Drosophila melanogaster: one gene and its partners. The protein of the gene in region 1 interacts with the protein of each later gene in a pairwise test. Each region holds a gene or a part of one and is shown in the gene's direction. Other genes may lie near its edges. The genes, in order: bur, CG10616 and CG10257.

Region 1 (8,248 bases):
AACAGGACCGCCACGTTCTGCATATGGAATTTTAGTGGGTTCGGCTGTTTTGGGCTTTGAGGTGTGGTTAGCGGTATGGGCGAAGGGGGAAACATCATAGCCAGCCAGCATACTCAGACGATCACGTTCCTTGGTGATTAACTTGGCACTTTTTCTTGCGGGAACTGCAGTAAATGTTTGGCCGCCGTAAAATACCTCGTTTTTGCCTTAACATAAAGAAAAAACTAAGTTATATTGAGTTTTCTTCAAAATCAAAGTCTACCTACCCAAAACCTTGTTTCTTAGTTCATTGATACCACGACCTGCGGTCGCCGATTGCAGTTCAGAACGTCGGGACATCTTGCCATATTCCTGCTTTACATGAAAAATGCAATAATCACAGTCGGTTAGGTTAACCACCGAAGTGCACTTGTCCCCATTTTTTTTGGTGGCCCGACATGTGCCCAAATCTTTGGATTGACCCAGGATCATGACTTTCTGGGAGCTATCGATGGATAGGCAGGCCACATCGGAGCTTCCCGCTCTCCTCTCGAAAATAGTTGGATTCAACACAGCCAAGCACAGACCCTCCGCTGTTTTCCACAGGGATTTGTGGGCCTCTTTAAAAAGGAAAAGTGAGATCGTTTTAACCTCTCCCCGTAGATCGGATAGTTTCCACGTGGAGTAGGGATCACCCTTCTTGGTGTTTTTTACAGGATTTTTGGAAACCAGCGCGCCAGCAATGACCCAATCTTTGGCCAAATCGCCTCGCTCGATGTGATACGCAACGCCTGAGAAGGGCACAGGTTTCCTGCCCGTCATGCGCTCCTGCAGCAGTGAGCTGGAGACTAGCGGATTGATCATGCGCAGTCCGAAGACTGGATCCGTAAAAACAGCAGATACGGGAGCACTTGACTGGGATGTAGATGCCACGGCGGCAGCGACTGGCGGAGGACGTTGAAACGTGGTGCTCACCGCCGATTGCCGTTTAATAGGATTATGCGGATTTTTCAGGGGTTGCGGGGTGGATGTAACCACGTGGATAGACTTCTTAAGCTCCTGATCCACCTCCCTCGCCACCTTGGACTCGTAGGCGTTCTCCTGCTGCTGCTTCAGTCTCTTGTTTATATCACTGCCGTACTCATTGTACTTTCGTTCCAGGAAGTTCTTTACCTCCTCGTCGTCGGACGAGTCCAGCTCTGGTTCCTTAATGATAGCAGCATTCTTCTGCTTTTCCGGTTTCACGATCTTCTCGAAGGTGAAGGCATTAGCAAAACTGTTGTCTTCTCGTAGTTTTGGCACCAAAATGGGTGCGGTGGGTTTTGCTTTTTCTGACTCTGCAGATTTTGTATTTTCGTTTTCTGCTGCACCCAGTAGTTTTTCCAGAGCCAGTATTTCCTCCTCATCATCGATACTAATATCTGTTCCGGATTTCTGAGCAGGACCCATTTCATTTGGGTAGATTTGTATTTTCACGTGTTCTCGTGTTTTTTCTTGGTTTTCTAAATAAGCGCAATAACATATCTGTTTTGGCGGGCTCAGTGTGACCGGGTAATGTATATGGTTCTACAAAAAGTGCTCGTTTGTCAACACTGTACAAACAGATTATAATTTTAATTATAATTCATTATTTAAAAGAATACTTAAGCACTCCTAATAAAGAAGTAATGTAATGTTATTAAGGAATTTTCATTGTTTTCGAAATAAATATAAATTTATTTATTTGGTAAATATTAATACCAAAAACGTTCACAGCTGGTATTTTTCGTTTGCAGCACAGCTGGATTTTTCCCAAATCCGAAATATGGTCATCCGCTCGTCAATAAGTCATCTTTCGGCTTTAATTCGCGAAAAAACTGCAGGAAATCCAAAAGGAAAGTCCCTGGAAGCGGCCATAATAACGCAGCCGTGAAAATCACAGGGATTTCATCGCCAGCTGTGTCGAGCAGCCCTGGATACGCGGAAAAGAAGCTGCAGCAGCCGAAGAAATTTTGAGTGTGTGCGTGAGGAAGGAAAACGGGGGACCGCAAACAACGGATCGCGAATTTCGTCTTAAGACAAAGTCTTGCGCTGCTTGTCACGGTATTCCACGGCCTTGCCGACGGACTTCCCGGTTCTGGAAAACCGCAGCCAGGCTAAAACGAGAGAAGGTGAGAGTCGCAATATGGCGAAAAAGATCCCCGATCCCAGCCAAATCGCCATGCGGTGCTGCTCCGCCCACAATTCCGCACCCCGCCCGTTGAATTCGCAAATTAGCTTCAACCGCATTTGCCTTTGCTTTTGTTGCGATTTTTTGTTCTCCGCATTTGCAATTTTTTAAATGTTTTGCAAATATATCCCGTGGCCATTTTGTGGTTATAAGCGCCGCTTGTTGGCGGCTCCACGTGTGTAAGTGTGCGTGCCTTCTGCATGTGTATTAAATTACAACCACGCGGCCGCCCTCTTTAGTTGTTGTTGCTGTGGTTTGTGCCGTTTCTGATAACCTCTTGCATGTTGTTATCAAAAATGAGAGAGAGCCAAAGGAGGAGCACGGCTTACATCACAGACATCGCATCGCTTCAGTGACCTAATGCACTCCTAACCTTCGGAGAGGCTTTTCATATTGCTGCTGCTGCGTTTTTACACACTTCAAGAGAAAATAAATGGCAAACAAGAAGACTTGCTACCGTCGATTTGTCTCCTGGATTGTTGTTGTTTATTTTTGTTTTCTATTTTACTTGTGCACTTTTCAGCTCTGTTTTCGTTTACCTGCCATTTTTCTCCGCTCATCTTTCGCTCTCTCTCGCTTCCGCTGCCACTCTCCTCTTAGTATTTTCGCCTGTCATCTGGCGGTCAGTAGCCGGCGCCCTCCCCCCTGACCCCATCACCATTACGTTCCGTTTCCTCCTCACATCCTCATCCTCATGCATCGAAATTTGTATTTTAAAATATATGTACTAAGTCGCCGATTACTTCGGGAATTCGAAAAGCATGTTCCTGACCTGCTGTTTTTCTAAATTCTTTGATGGGACAAATGTGTCTATAAAATTAAATGTTAACTTCCATGCTTTGATAATCTACTTTAGTATGTAGAAGTATATAGCATTGACAGATACTCCTGGCACAAAAATTCGTTTTTCATGTTGTTAATCCAAATTCAGTCTGTTGACCAAAATTATACAAAAATTATATCTATTTAATATTATTTTAAAAAACCAAACTATGATCATTTGGAGCACTTTTTCCTATGGTATCTATGATTTTATGCTGGCTGTGAATACACTCTGTCTTAAATTCTAACCACGGTTAAATAAACAGGTATTATTAAGATTAAGTTATAGGCTTATTCATATACGTAAATGTTTTATATTTGGTCAAATAAATAATACCCACAGAACGTAATCGTCGCGATGCACAGCGAATCATTTTTGGTAGGCGTCTCTCGGCCTTGTTTTTCGTCGCTTGTAAATTTCTTTCCACATTGCACAAATCATCTTTCTGTGACAAGAAAATATTTGCCAATGTTTATTGTCTATCGTAGAGCGTCCTGGCCAGCTGCATGTTGAATGTTTCTGCGAGTGCTCCACAAGATATTGCCGGTATGTGAGCCTTCTGTACCACAAATCTCAATCTCCGCGATTGCCCCAATCCGAAACCTATTTTCCCCACCTCCTAGCCAGCTTTTAGCCTTGTTTCTGTAGCGTCGATTGCAGCCACAATTGGAGTATAAATAAGCAGCAGAAGCGCGTTTACCAGCCAGTCGAGATTCGGTGTTTGTTTCTGCGATTGCTTGACTGACACTCAAATCTTTGCTCTTTTCAGTGCTGCAACGATAAAGAAATGAACTCAAACATTTTTCTGGGCACAGCAGAGAATGGCCTGCGGCATGATAAGATTGTTATACTTGATGCGGGAGCACAGTACGGCAAGGTAAGCTTAAAACCAAGAGTAGTTTTAACCTCTTCTTAAAATGGTCCTGGTTTCTCCGCAGGTTATCGACCGTAAGGTACGCGAACTCTTCGTTGAGACGGATATCCTTCCTCTGGATACGCCAGCTGCCACGATACGCAACAATGGCTATCGAGGCATCATCATCTCCGGCGGACCCAACTCAGTCTACGCTGAGGATGCGCCCAGCTATGATCCCGATCTGTTCAAGCTAAAAATACCTATGCTGGGCATCTGCTACGGCATGCAGCTAATCAACAAAGAGTTCGGGGGCACAGTGCTCAAGAAGGATGTTCGAGAGGATGGCCAACAAAATATCGAGATCGAGACCTCGTGCCCGCTCTTTAGGTGAGCCAGGAAATATTGATTCCCAAAACAAGCAGCAACAAGAAAGTGCTTAGGCTTAAATGCGTTTACCTAAGCGCTGATACAATGCTGCCAGAACAATTTTAAAGCCAAGAACAGTTTAGTTTAGAGTAGTTTATAAACTGATCTACACGTGGCCTAACATATTATCTATCATTACCATTAATTATTCTAATACATGCAATTAACAAACATAACATCTTCGTTTCCCGCAGTCGCCTCAGTCGCACACAGTCCGTGCTGTTAACCCACGGAGATAGCGTTGAGAGGGTAGGCGAGAATCTGAAGATTGGTGGCTGGTCTACAAACCGCATTGTGACAGCCATTTACAATGAAGTACTACGCATCTACGGCGTACAGTTCCATCCTGAGGTGGACCTCACTATCAATGGCAAACAGATGCTATCGAACTTCCTGTACGAAATCTGCGAACTGACACCTAACTTTACCATGGGTAGTCGAAAGGAGGAGTGCATACGCTATATCCGTGAGAAAGTGGGCAACAATAAGGTGTTGGTGAGTTTGGGAAAATAAATTTTCAATCAAGACATGAATATCTCAATACAATCTACATTTTACAGCTCCTGGTCAGCGGCGGCGTGGATTCGAGTGTCTGTGCAGCTTTGCTCCGCCGTGCTTTGTACCCTCATCAGATAATTGCCGTGCATGTAGATAATGGTATGACAGTAGACAGATTAGCGAAATTTATTCATTTATATTTTTTCTACGTCAAATAATTCATTAACTCGGTGAATACCGAATTTATATCATTTGTACTTTAAAACCTAATATTTTATCCCTTACTTCAAGGTTTCATGCGCAAGAAGGAAAGTGAAAAGGTGGAGCGTTCACTGCGCGATATTGGCATTGATTTAATCGTCCGAAAAGAAGGCTACACGTTCCTTAAAGGCACCACGCAGGTCAAGAGGCCCGGACAGTACTCCGTGGTGGAAACGCCGATGTTATGTCAGACATACAATCCGGAGGAAAAACGCAAGATAATTGGTGATATATTCGTCAAGGTGACCAATGATGTAGTAGCCGAATTGAAACTAAAGCCCGAAGAAGTTATGTTGGCCCAGGGAACCCTCCGACCAGATCTGATCGAGTCCGCCTCTAGCATGGTGAGCACGAATGCAGAAACAATCAAAACGCACCACAATGACACGGATCTGATCAGGTAAAAAAGCAAAAGTCTAAATTCCTAACCAAATTTTAGTGATCAGCTTATTTTTTGTAATTCATTTCTTCAGAGAGCTTCGTAACGCAGGACGTGTGGTTGAGCCCCTTTGCGACTTTCATAAGGATGAAGTGCGCGACCTTGGCAATGATCTTGGCCTGCCTCAAGAGCTTGTGGAGAGGCAACCCTTTCCGGGTCCTGGCCTGGCAATCCGCGTCCTTTGCGCTGAGGAGGCATACATGGAAAAGGACTACTCAGAAACTCAGGCATGTTAACAATTAATTGCTGTCAAAGTTATTATAATAAATATACTATTTAATTGTAGGTTATTATCCGCGTGATTGTAGACTACAAGAATAAACTGCAGAAGAACCATGCTTTGATCAACCGCGTAACGGCGGCCACGAGCGAGGCGGAACAGAAAGACCTTATGCGTATCTCATCGAACTCGCAGATCCAGGCAACTTTGCTGCCCATCCGATCAGTGGGCGTGCAAGGTGATAAACGGTCATATAGCTACGTAGTAGGCCTATCCACGAGCCAGGAGCCCAACTGGCAGGATCTTCTCTTCCTCGCCAAAATCATACCGCGAATTCTGCACAACGTGAACAGGGTGTGCTATATCTTCGGCGAACCCGTACAGTATCTAGTGACGGATATTACGCACACCACACTGAATACTGTAGTTCTTTCGCAGCTGAGGCAAGCCGATGATATTGCCAATGAAGTAAGTGGATTTGTCATAGAAATAAATAAAATGTATTATATCATAACCGTTTTAGATCATAATGCAAGCTGGACTATACCGGAAGATCTCGCAGATGCCTGTTGTTCTCATACCCGTGCACTTTGACCGCGATCCCATTAACCGCACACCCTCGTGCAGAAGGTCGGTAGTGCTGCGTCCGTTCATAACGAACGACTTTATGACTGGTGTGCCGGCTGAGCCCGGATCCGTGCAAATGCCTTTGCAAGTGAGTCAGTTTTCAATCTTTCTGAAAAATGTATATTTAATCTTTTCCTGCTCAAAGGTCCTAAATCAAATTGTACGCGATATATCCAAGCTGGATGGAATCTCGAGGGTGCTGTACGACTTGACAGCCAAGCCGCCGGGCACCACCGAATGGGAATGATGCGTTCAAACCAAAATTTTTAACAGCCATTTCATAAAAATAGATGAGAGAAAAAATAATCAACCAACCAATAAGCGGCGGGCTCTCGATAATAGGACAATGGCCAATCAATGGACGGTCAGGAAGGATAAAGATCCAACGGCGGACGGATCGACCCTTGCCTTCGAGCACTTCACAGCTGCTCCTGCCTTTTAGAGAGACACGTTAAACGAGCAATTCATGAGGCGCAAATACAGAACTGCAACTGCCGCTTCGAAATTTAAAAACAATTCAGGTTCTTTATATCGATGATGCACGTATGTGTATCAAGATCTAAAACAGATGGTAAACTATTTGCCAATAACACTTATGTACATTTTCATGTTTTGTTCCTTTTGATAAAAGGAATGTGCCCACAAACCACGTAACAAACAAAAAAAAATTAATTTACGCATTTTTAGTTATATACATATAATATATATAATATACATAATAAATAATTGCAAAATCACAAGTTTCGAAAATTGTATATTTGCTAGAGAGAGAAGTGTTTTCATGGCAAAAGGCATAAACGATTCTAAGAATACAAAACAAAAATATTGTAAGCTAAAATTATGAATTGTTATATAAAACGTCAATATTTAAAAAATGGCAAAACCAGAAAAACAAAACGATTATGATACAAGAAATGTAATAAAGCGAAAAATCGATTCAAATGTGTTTGCATTGCATTTTTTTATTTTGAGATATTCAAATCAAGGCCTATGGTCTAATCTTTGTTTTTGTCAAGTAATAGGGACCGCCACTAGTAATTTTTTGAATTTTTTGAAAAGCGTCGCGGGAGAGAACAAACTTGCTATTTTGGAGATTCCTCAACTTCTCAAGCGAAGCCATCTTTTCTCTAATGGGCGTACGTTTACGTTTTTCCTGAACATGTCGCAGGTTTCTAGACGGATTCTTTTCGAGAGTAGGTCCCGAAGGCTTAAGATGCATTGGCTGAGTAAAAAGTAGAATAAATACTAAAGTGATTTGTTCGTTAACTATAAACATACAATCTCTCGAGGGGGTTTTCCCCCTTCTCGGTCAAACATGTGATTTAGAAACAGCAGATTATCTGAATAAAATAGTTTTGGCTGCGGCGATTCACCCGAAAACTTTGCACCCTGCTCTTGTATGCGCTCCATCTCAACTTTATAGCGAAGCTTGTGAATCATATGTTTCCAAAACCCAGATGGCGAGTCCGCTTTCATTTCATCGGCAATCGCATCCCAGATTCTGTCTTTGAGCTCGAAATTGAAGAAATCTTTGTTGCGCTGATTCCACAAGCATTTGTGATCTTCATACAATGCGATTAACTTTAATTTAGCCTTGGCGGTCTTCATGAACTCCGGGCTAGGTGAGAAGGTGATGGGGGTCTTTCGCAAAGAAGTGGCGTCTGTATAAGTGTAGGAGCCTGTGCTGGAGTCAAAGGACGTTGTACTCTGTTCCTGACGCTTAAGTTTTGCAGCCAGTAGGGCTCGTCTTCTTCCCAACGATGGCTTGTCGGAGAGTGAAAAGAAATCCGTGCTGGAAGCAACGGAAGTTTTACTTTGAGCTCTGCGTTTCATAGTCCTAGAATTGGATTTACTAATAATTTATATTTGATTGACAATTCGACATATTTTCCAAAAGCTATGGGTGAATA
Region 2 (5,285 bases), on another chromosome or scaffold:
CTCATGCCAGAGATCCAGAGCAAACGCAAACAATCGAACAGGAATAATTTACTAAGTAAATAATATCTGGATACCGATCGCTGCACGGTAAGAAATTGCGTAAACCGGTGACCCATATTGCTCAGCAACCAAAGAAACCTTTCAGCACTGAGATATTTTTCATTCCATTGTTTTCTGGGATAATTTAAAGTAACAGAATTATCTTCTTACAACATTTTTTTGTCTTAACTTGACAGTAAGAGTTCTTAATTAAAGTCTGAAATTTTTAAAAATATTTTTTACGATTTTTTTTTACTAGTTTACTCAAGATCTATAGCAATATTTAAAGAGTTGAATCAATGGTCTCTATGGAATAGTGTTATATATGGTATATACATATTTCGTAACCATTTGATCCCAATTTTGGCCAGTGTAATCCCCGCGAGTAGCGTGCGCCCTCGCCCCATCAAGTGGCACTTCAACAATCAAGCATTCACACAAGCAGATGGTCCGCAGCCGTTGGCGACCACCTAAATGAAATTTCATTTAGTTTTTTTTCGCCCGTCATCGCCGCCGCAATCGCAACCCGCTCCTCGAGATCTCCCCATCCATCGCAGTCCATCCAATCCATCCGTCCAGCGCAGAGTTCCAGCCCCAATCCCAATCCCAATTCCAATCCCAATACGGTCTCCTATTTGCTTATGCACACATTATCAACGTACGCCCGCCTTATGGAGTGTTTGTTTACCTAATTCGATTACCGATCGCGTCCGTTCGCGCCATAGTCCACCGGCCACTTGACCATTTGGGTGGCACGGATCCGTACTCATGGGGTCCGCTCTTCGGCCAGACGTCGTGCGTAATCGCCCCACGGCAGCTGATGCAGTGCAGCGGAATTGGGAGATGGAGATGGAGATTATGTTGCTGCTGGAGCCGGGGGCCTTAATTGAAGAACCTGCCACGGGGGTACATACATACATACTTTCATCGCTTTGCAGTCGCGGAGGTAAATTAAGTCTTAATATCCTAAGTCGAGTGTCTAAAGATTAGGAAAATAAACACTCAAGGACTTTATCGATTCGTAAAGAAAAATCAAAAGTAAACTGCAATTACATTTCAATAATAAACAACCCTATATCAAAGAGTCTTCTTTAAATTACTGCTTGTCAATTTCTTAAAATTAATAAATAAATCTATTCAATCATGTTCTAATTGATAAAAGTAAAGTGTGCCTATTCTCATAAAATTTGTATAAACATTCAGGGAGTTATTTAAATAAGGTATATTTACGTATTTATACGTATACAGTTATTGAATGTTATTTTTTTTTTTAAATGCCTCGCCAGGAGCTGTTAAACATATATATTATATTATCTAGATGTTGCACATGGTATTTGAAACACTTTTTAAATAAATCTTGGACAAACATGTAAAATTTAGTAGTTATTCTTAGTAAAAAAAAAGGGTAATGTTGTTTTATTAATTACACTTTTTAAAATTTCGAATATATTTTTAAATTTAACAGTTTTCTAGAGATGGCAAGCTTTTTTAAATAAACTTCGTTAAATATCGATAAGAATTTACCTCATAATCCATACTTTTAAAATATAACCTTCGGTCACACCAATTCATAGAGCTGGTGCGTATCGATAGTCGGCACATTCAAAATAAATAAATTCCCAAACACCATTTAATTAAGGTCAATGGACTTGATTGTGGCGTTATTTTTAAAATCCGAAAATAAATAGCAATTGAATTCAAATTTGAATAGCTTAGCACTATCGCTCACTATCGAAATTTAGCCTCGATAGCAAGTATTCGATTACAGCTACTATCGTGGGGGGTGTACCCAGCTCTAAAAATTTGTCATTTCGGAACGAATATAGTTAACATTAAATTTACGAAGTAAACAGAAACCCCAGAGCCACGATGCGCACAGTGCTGTTGAGCAAACACGACGAGCTGTACCTGGAGAAATGCGCACAGGAGAACCAGTTCTCGTACGGGATAATCGTGGGCCATGTAAGTGCCATCCGCCACGTAGATTTTGTTTGGTTCCCCCGCTCAACTGAATCTCCACTTTCTCCTGGTTTCATCCGCTTCGGTTGAAATAGCAAGCGGATCTCACCAAGAGCGTGGTGGTCCACCTGGCCAGGAACAACGAGGAGGATGCGGATCTGGAGGACCTGTCGGAGGTCCGGCTCACCATCTCGGACATCAACTCACAGGCATTGGCCTCCCAGTGGCTGAGCGCCAGCAAAATGTGTCCCGGATCTTTTGACGTCATCGGTGGGTTTGCGTGCTGCCCCTGCAGTTTTATCTGCCCTACCCAGAAATAATCATAGTCATAATGCTAAGGCATATTATTTATGGGGACCTTGTATTCCTCCCGTGGATTCGAAATTTAGCCAAACCCTTTTTTTTTGTATGTTTTGTATATGGGCTAACCCACCCAATTTGACTGTTTAATCTGTCAATTCGAAACTTTTGATCTTTCGTCATAGATAAATCTTTAAGCTATCAGTAATGGGTAGTGAAACCAGTAATGTAAACTTAGGTACTTAACTAAGATGAAAGTAAGCGAAGCTTTAGGACTTACCATCTAGAATTAATTATTAATGAATTATTTATCTTTGCAGGAATCTTTGTGTCTTCAGTAAGATCCGATGTAGTAAACGAACAGAGCGCCGAATTTAAGAATGCCAAAAAGCTGTTTTCAGATATTTACGAGTAAGTCACTAACTATATGAGTATGATATGAGTCTCCATTTGAAATGACCTCTTTTCTTACTTTTCCAGTTTGCTCCTGAAAAGCAACAGCTCGTTTGGCGTCTACACCACCGACATTGCACAGACTGATTTCGTATTCCTCTCGTATTCGCTGGCCGACAAGAAAGTGCTCTGCAAGAACTACAGCTATGGCAAGTGAGTATCGGAAACGTAATCCCTGATCACAGATACGGGTCTCAATGTGTATTCTTTCTTTCACCAAACGAATCGCTTACAATTTATAACTAGACATTGCAAAAAAACGTATTTTACGGCAAACATAAAATGCATCATATGGTAACTAAAAAGTTGAGAACTATGTACTTTCATAACTTATGTTCTATGTTCAATAATCACTTTCTTTGCTATCCTTGTCCTTGTGTTTCTTATTTCTTGGAATGCATTTTATGTGTTAGTTAACCATTAGGATTGTTCATGTTTATATGGTAGTTTGATTACATTCAGACTTTTCCTAGCCTAAATATAATATGAGTATTTCTTTTGATAGCGGCGGCACTTTCACCAATATGGAGTTCCGGTTTGTGGACAAACCCTTCGAGTGGATTCAGCTGGAGTGCAGCTACGATTTCGATGATGTGCTGCCCATACTGGACTCCTCGCGTCGCGTCAACATCGAAGACCAGTTCCAGAGTATGATAGTGTCGGTGCGCAAGAACCTGCTCGCCAGTGAAGTATTCCTCCAAAACGAAGTTGTCGAGGACACCATCGATCTGCAGGCCTATATCAAAAAGAAAAAGACGAAAGTGGACAAGCTGCAACCGACATCGACAACAGGTGGCACGGCCACTGCCTCGAGCAACACCACTGACTCCCTGCCGCGGCTTGCGTCCGAAGGAATCATCGGAGGCACTGAAACCATCCGGGCGAGCATCGTGCTCCCCATGAAATGCCAGCTGAGCAAACCGACGGACATCAAGGTGCGCGAATTTAGTGGCACGCTGCACATGAGCGGCATTATTACCTCAAAGGTATTCTGCAATCCTCGAAACAGTATAGCAGATGTTAAGCGTTTCCTACGCGACGATGTGCTCCGTTCGCTGATAACGCGTATACAAGTGTACTGCGATGGACTCACCGATCCATATGTGACCAATGAAGCTCTGTACATTAGTGAGCCGCCGAGACGTGTGTTCTTCAGCCTGCCTTCAGAGGGTCCCAGTGCGTCGGTCGGAGCAGTAGTTCAGTTTTCCGAGTACTTATTCCGTGGCGAGGCACCAACTGTTGTGGTGGCCCAGGCTAAACAGATTCTGGACGTGGATCTAGATCCAGAGACCATATCCGTGGAGGCAGAGGGACTCCCGGATGATACGCACTTCAACAATTGCAAGATGGACGCTGATTGCATAGACGATTCTGGGATTATGACCAGTTCGATGCCAAAGCCGGAACTTTCGCGCAGCCTTTACATGGTGGGAATCGCAGTGGCCCTGCTGGTCCTCCTGTCCTCCGTGGCACTTCACTTTGTCCTAGCCGAGCGGTAGGCAGCTGGGATGCTGGGATGACCGAACCAATAAACCAATTTATATGAAATGTTTTTATACAGATACATTAATTGCATGTGTGCCCACGCACTCACCTCTCTATTGTGATCGTTTGTTTTTATAATTCATTGTGTACTCGTAGTAGTAAAAAAAAAAAGAATGTGTATAGGGATCACGTTAAATAGTTTTATTGTGGAAGCAAAACTGTGCAGCATTTAACACCAATATAATAAACTAATAAGTAATATACATATCTGCGATTCTTTGGTACGCCTATAGGGGAATTTCTCCTTATCTATTTCCATTTAAGAGGATCTAAGTGTTAATTGTAGTGTATTTTAGTGGTCAAGCTACAGCAATTTAACTTTTTACAGTTCATATGGCTTTTTATTTATAATTTATTAATTATTTTACAACCTTAAATCTCAGATTCCTGTTTTAACTTATGCCTACCGTAATTATATTAACCTTAAAGAAGAAATTAATAATTTCATTAGTAATTGTTTAGCATAAAACATTAAGAGTTCAGTTATGTACATTAGGCAAGTTAGAATTGTAACTATATTAAGTGGTAAGTAATAGTACTTTCAATTAGTACGTGCCTTTAGACTTTAATTACACAATTATTTGGTTGTCTAAATTAGAATCGAATTTGTTCCTTTGCAACTTCTAGTTCAAAATGAGCACATAATAATTGTGTTGTGGTGATCATGCGAAGATTTCTCGCACGATTCGAACACTTAAAGTGTAAATTAGTTTTTCACAGCCTCTGCAACTTAGCGGACCCAAGTCCATGTCTACGAAGTAACCACCGAGATGCCACAGATGCTAGTGCATCTTGCAGTTGCCATCGCAGTTGACAACCGACCACACCCAGTCCACGTAGTTGGGCACCTTGGCATAGATGCCAAACTTATTGCGCTGGGCGCATCCATCGCCGAACGAGGTGATGCCAAATATGGTCCACGGATGGTTGGGCTTCGTGGTGTCCCGACACAGGAGTGGACCTCCTGAATCCCCAGCACACGTGTCTAT
Region 3 (5,115 bases), on another chromosome or scaffold:
AAATCACTGAAATACAACATTCACTTTGTCATTTCGCCATAGTTTTTGATTAAATCTCATCCAGCCGCCGAAAGGGCCAAGTACAAAAACCATCTAGTCAACAGCCTGGCGGCCTTTTGATTAATGTCCCCGCCTGCTGCTGTCGTTATCGACAGGCAATTATCTATGAAAATTAATTGACGGCGACATTTGTAGTGTGCCATTTGGCCGACACCAGCGAAGCACGCAATCCAATCCCCCTGGAGAATCCGCTACATGCACCTCCTGCCACCGTGCTCCGCGGCTCCACTGGCTACGACATCATCAGCGACAGCGCCACCGAATGTTGTCTGTTGCGGCACTTTTGGCCACATGTATTTGCATAAAAAGTGAACAACCAGCGGAATGGTCGTAAATTCAGCTGGAAAGTAGTGAACGAAAAAGCGCAACCGCGCACGATGGGCTGGAAAAGATAAATGGGCAAAATACCTTATGAAATATGGAGGTATTGCAATGTCACATATAATAAGAAAATATAATTTAGATATATAATTTATCATGATTTTTTAATCCAAAAATGATATACATAAATTAAATCTTATTTATTATAATATACAAGAACGAATTTATAATTTAAATTTGGGTATATTACCCAAACTTTTTTTTTTAAGTATATACATATATTAATCTTTGATTTAGCTTCTGTTATAACCTTGTACTCATTCAACTTGATTTACAAAAAATATGATGCAAAATCATAAGATCCTTTTCATTCAAATGGATTTTAAGGGTATATATGCATGAGCAAGTTCCTCTTACTGGTTCTTTATGTGTACAAAGTTAGTTAAAATACTTAAGGATTGGATGTGGAATATAACTAGATTTATTTTGCAGATATCCACAAGATATCCCATAGTGCTTTAGCCTGGGGATCCGCGAGGAAGCGTGGAAAAAACTGAATGTTTGCATGAATATACGTACTTATTTATTTTGTAGAGCACTAATAATTACACTAACACACTGCCTCCCGGGGAGCTTCGTGCTGATAGGGGAGTTGATGGGCGGCGGGCAGCCTTGTCCTTGTCAAATGTTTCGTTATCTGCCAACGCTGTTTTTGTTGTTGTTGTCAAGCGAACGCTTTCCTTCTTCACACACCAGCAAACACACACTCACATCCAGAGAAAGGCGAAAGCACGCCCATCGCCACCCACTCTGCCCCTTTTGATAGCGTCAACATCAACTAAAACTGTAAGCGACTTCAAACGGCGCTTTGTCAGTGACCTTCGCGTGCTGGTGCGATGGCATATGTTTTTCTTGCCACCCACACATTTGGGTGGCTAAATGGGTTGGAGCCAAGAGCTGGGAAACTTGATTTGACATATGATGTGCCCGTTTCGTTGGCGACTCCTTCCTTACCCCAATCTGGCCCAAATACATTTATCAATATCGCTTCTGGTCGATTGAAATACCAATAGGAGGCGGCAAGTCTTTTGGCAGCGTAAAGAAATCACCCATTGCCCACTACTAACCCACCCCCAATCGGTCATTAGCATTTTCGGCGTGTATTTATGGGCAGAAAATGTTGCGCCATAAACATGACAACAAAACAAAATGCGACAAATTTGCGACGATTGCGCCCATGTGGCACAGTGAGTTCCTCTATCCCCCAGGGCCAAATAATTGTCATCCAGAATAAAATATGTATGCACGAATATTGTTTGGCTTACGCTCAATTGGAGGCCGGAGGCATTGGCGAAAAACCAGGCTCATTCCGAAAAGTCAGCCAGCCCAATTGCAATGCAGAAACAATTGCATACTTGACGGGGCAAAGTTTATTTTTATGCGAGCGACACTCGGTGGGGGTATTGAGAAGTAGTTACAGTGGAGACTTGATAACGGGAACCAAAAGGAGAAGCACCATATTTGTGTAGAAAATGGATTGGGTATGTAAACTTTACAGTTATGTAGGAATAGGATTGTATGAGGGTGCCAAGTATCCGGCTTGAATGCTAACTATATTCCAAAGATCGCCGCTTAAAGTATGGCCAATATATGCGTGTAGGTCTTAGGAGACTTTCCCTGTACACACACTCAGCCTCATATCCACACGCACACGACTAGTGGAAACAAATCAACTCTGTTTTGGCGCCACGCGGCGTAGTTGCTCTGCACTTTGGCAGACCGACAAACGCGACCGCGACTCTCGGCCAGAAGCACGGCTGAGGCTAAGGCCAGAACAGAACAGAACGGAACAGAGCTGAGCTGGGCTGCCGGAGAGCCCGGCCAAAAGGCAAAGGCAGCCAGCCGGGCCAACTAGTTTTTCTTTGGCTCCTCCTTTTGGCTTTTATTGTACACGGTGGTTTGTTGTTTAGTGTGCCATTGGCGCTAACAACGTGCGGTTCGGTCTTGGGTTTTCTCGCCGCCCGTTGAATTCAGAGAGCGGAATAGATTCTAGCCCGATTTCGGGGTCTAAGCCCACAAACATAGGGGTGGAGTGAAAGTGCATTGCAGCCAGATCTGCAGATTAGACAAACTTGAGTTCCTTGAACTTCCCAAATATTATAGATATATTATACCTACGTGGTTTTCTCTGGTTTTGTGTAACCCATTTAGTTGGCTGCACTTTAAAGGCGATTACTATAAATATTAATAGGATTTATTGATTGACTGGCGGTGGGCCAGAGCCAGATCGACACGAGGCTTCGGACCCATGTCCTTTCTTTCGCCCACACTGCGCCTGGAGAATCTGTCCACGCAGCCCACGATGACGCAGGATCATGTGCCCGAGGACCAGCGCTATAACAAACAGAATATTGTGGCTCAATGGTGTGTGCCCATCAATGGCAAGGTACCTGCGATTATTTTTCAAAACCGCCACTTACATTTAATGGAAATTCGCGATAATTATCCGCCCATTCCCATTTTTATTTTTTGTAATTTTTATTTTTTTTGCGCAGATGTACCGCATCGAGCTGGAACATGGCACAACCAGTGGGCGGCGCATGATTTGGGTCAATGGACGGGTAAGTTTTTTAGCTCCCAGCGAGCTGAATGGGTGGTTGGTGGCTTTGGAGCTCGTAAAGTATTTGCATTGTGAAGGTAAACTTAATTACGGGTCGTGTACGTACGTAATCGTACTTCAGCAATGCAGAATGATATTTAAAAAGGTCTCATTTAGTTGATAAAAATATTTAATTAAATTCTTTGGGTCTTATTATTTCTAAACATATATGTATATACTTCTGTCATCCCTCACCGACATTTAGCATTTCAGTTTTTATGTTTAGTACACCGTTGGGTTTATTCTTTCTTACTAAAGTGCTTTAGTGCTTTAGAGTGCTTTTAAACTTTAAGTCCATATGAACTGTATAAATTAAATCGATACAAACAAACAAAATAGAAGATTTTACCAAAGACAACGGTGCGTATGAGTGATAAACTGGTAGAGCAAATGCAACAATTTAAAGGGCTATCAAAATGAACTATAAAGTTCATCCGCCTAATTTTCTTCTCCTAATCAAATTCCCAGGAAGTCCTGCGTCGCGACTGGATGTTCAAACTGGTTGGCGAAGACACCTTTCACATCGATCAGACGCGCTGCATCATACGCGTTGATCCTGCGCCGGGCTTCAAATACGAGTACTCCCTCTACATCGACGGCAAATCGCACGACCAGTACACCGAGGACATGACACGGCAATATCGACTGTGGCTATATACGGATGATGCGGCCGCCGATGCGCCGCAGGAATATAGAATAATGCTCAAACTGGACACGCTGAGTCTCTACGTAAACGATGAGCTGCGCACCGAGGAGGTGAGGGAAATGGGCTATTGCCACCTACACACACACACACACACACCATACTCACACACTTTATTACCCCCATATCGCAGTCGGTTTTTGTTCACGGCGGCACAGACACCAAGTTCCTGCTGCAGGACACGGAATTCGTGCTTCAGGCACGCTCAAGTGGCAATAAACATGATGGCATCGTTCACACTCTGCTGGCGAATGGGGTGGCAGTTCCGGAGGCGAAGATTCAGGAGATTATGCAAGAGCCGGTCTCCATTTTGCAGAGCAGCAACTGAGGGGCAATGGAAGGCTCCTCCATACGATACGATAGGATAACGTTTTGCATTTGTTGAATTTGTGCCCAGTTGTTAATAAACGTTTTTCGAAAGTTCTTTTCAATTTGATTAAAACATAAACTTTGTCTTATACAATACTTTATTCGTTTTTCTTTATATGCATAATTGTAACGCAACTATCGTTTACGTTTTCAATTTCATTTTGCTAGCATCTGGTAGTATATGCCAAAAGTGCATCCAGTTTAAAAAATTAGTCGGAAACATCAGTTGAAGAAGATACAAATTGATGTTATACGCTCAGTAAAATCATTATATACTAATTAAACTTACTCATAGAACTTGGTTATCAAACACAACAACATAATAATTGGGATAGGCTAAAGAATATTGGTTGTTACTAATAAAATCGGTAACGTTTAAGTGCAATTTGAAATTGTTTTTCAGTTTGTCCTGTTTGTTTTGCATTTAAATTGATTGCTTGCTATGTTCTTTAATCAAAAACTTTGATCAATATTACTTTCTTAGATTGCGTTGTATTTGGAAATTTAACAATATGCGCTTAATTTGTTCTCTTTTATTTGCTTTTCATACATTAACAAGTAACATTTTTGCTGAAATTTATCTTTAGCTTCAATTAAAAACACAATATTTTATTTACCTTCGCAACACAATGATATTTTTGATATATACTAATTTTAATAATTTTTTCGTAATATTCATATGTGGATTACAAAAAGATGCTGGCACTATATATGCCATCACAAATAAACAAAAATAATAAATATATATATGTTTTTGTTGTTGTTGTAAGTACAGTGGAATGCATTAAAAACAAAAGTTTTTTTTTAATACTTAACAAAGTTATATTGCCAGTAGACGGATTGTGTTTGCTTGCTGTTAAAAATACAGAGTAGAAAATGAATAAAATAAATAAATATGTTTTTGTTCGCATTTTAAGAGAATTTCCTCGTCCCCCCGACTTCGGTTAACGGTTCTCTGTGTAAAAATTAGAGTTACGAAGTTACAATTGGTATTTCGTTTGCA

What was found.
Region 2: the proteins of bur (region 1) and CG10616 interact in a two-hybrid assay, tested with the Drosophila melanogaster proteins (one large-scale study listed by BioGRID).
Region 3: the proteins of bur (region 1) and CG10257 interact in a two-hybrid assay, tested with the Drosophila melanogaster proteins (one large-scale study listed by BioGRID).

The regions. Positions count from the first base shown.
Region 1 is NT_033779.5:21,173,211-21,181,458, reverse strand, and holds bur (burgundy), read left to right. Parts: upstream 1-1,775; 5' UTR 1,776-2,129; exon of another isoform or gene 2,130-3,049; intron 3,050-3,780; 5' UTR 3,781-3,798; coding exon 3,799-3,888; intron 3,889-3,949; coding exon 3,950-4,254; intron 4,255-4,282; exon of another isoform or gene 4,283-4,419; intron 4,420-4,487; coding exon 4,488-4,788; intron 4,789-4,853; coding exon 4,854-4,950; intron 4,951-5,082; coding exon 5,083-5,452; intron 5,453-5,525; coding exon 5,526-5,718; intron 5,719-5,777; coding exon 5,778-6,179; intron 6,180-6,234; coding exon 6,235-6,426; intron 6,427-6,483; coding exon 6,484-6,585; 3' UTR 6,586-7,277; downstream 7,278-8,248. Other genes in the region: Mcm10 (minichromosome maintenance 10), read right to left, coding at 1-206, 267-1,428; CG31627 (uncharacterized protein), read right to left, coding at 7,327-7,560, 7,617-8,171.
Region 2 is NT_037436.4:12,469,929-12,475,213, forward strand, and holds CG10616 (uncharacterized protein), read left to right. Parts: upstream 1-1,799; 5' UTR 1,800-1,908; coding exon 1,909-2,001; intron 2,002-2,093; coding exon 2,094-2,268; intron 2,269-2,618; coding exon 2,619-2,709; intron 2,710-2,778; coding exon 2,779-2,904; intron 2,905-2,997; coding exon 2,998-3,045; intron 3,046-3,256; coding exon 3,257-4,250; 3' UTR 4,251-4,351; downstream 4,352-5,285. Other genes in the region: CG10663 (uncharacterized protein), read right to left, coding at 5,079-5,285. UniProt on the Drosophila melanogaster protein: May play a role in the trafficking of a subset of G-protein coupled receptors.
Region 3 is NT_033778.4:14,940,263-14,945,377, forward strand, and holds CG10257 (uncharacterized protein), read left to right. Parts: upstream 1-2,135; 5' UTR 2,136-2,689; coding exon 2,690-2,827; intron 2,828-2,936; coding exon 2,937-3,002; intron 3,003-3,508; coding exon 3,509-3,796; intron 3,797-3,876; coding exon 3,877-4,071; 3' UTR 4,072-4,207; downstream 4,208-5,115.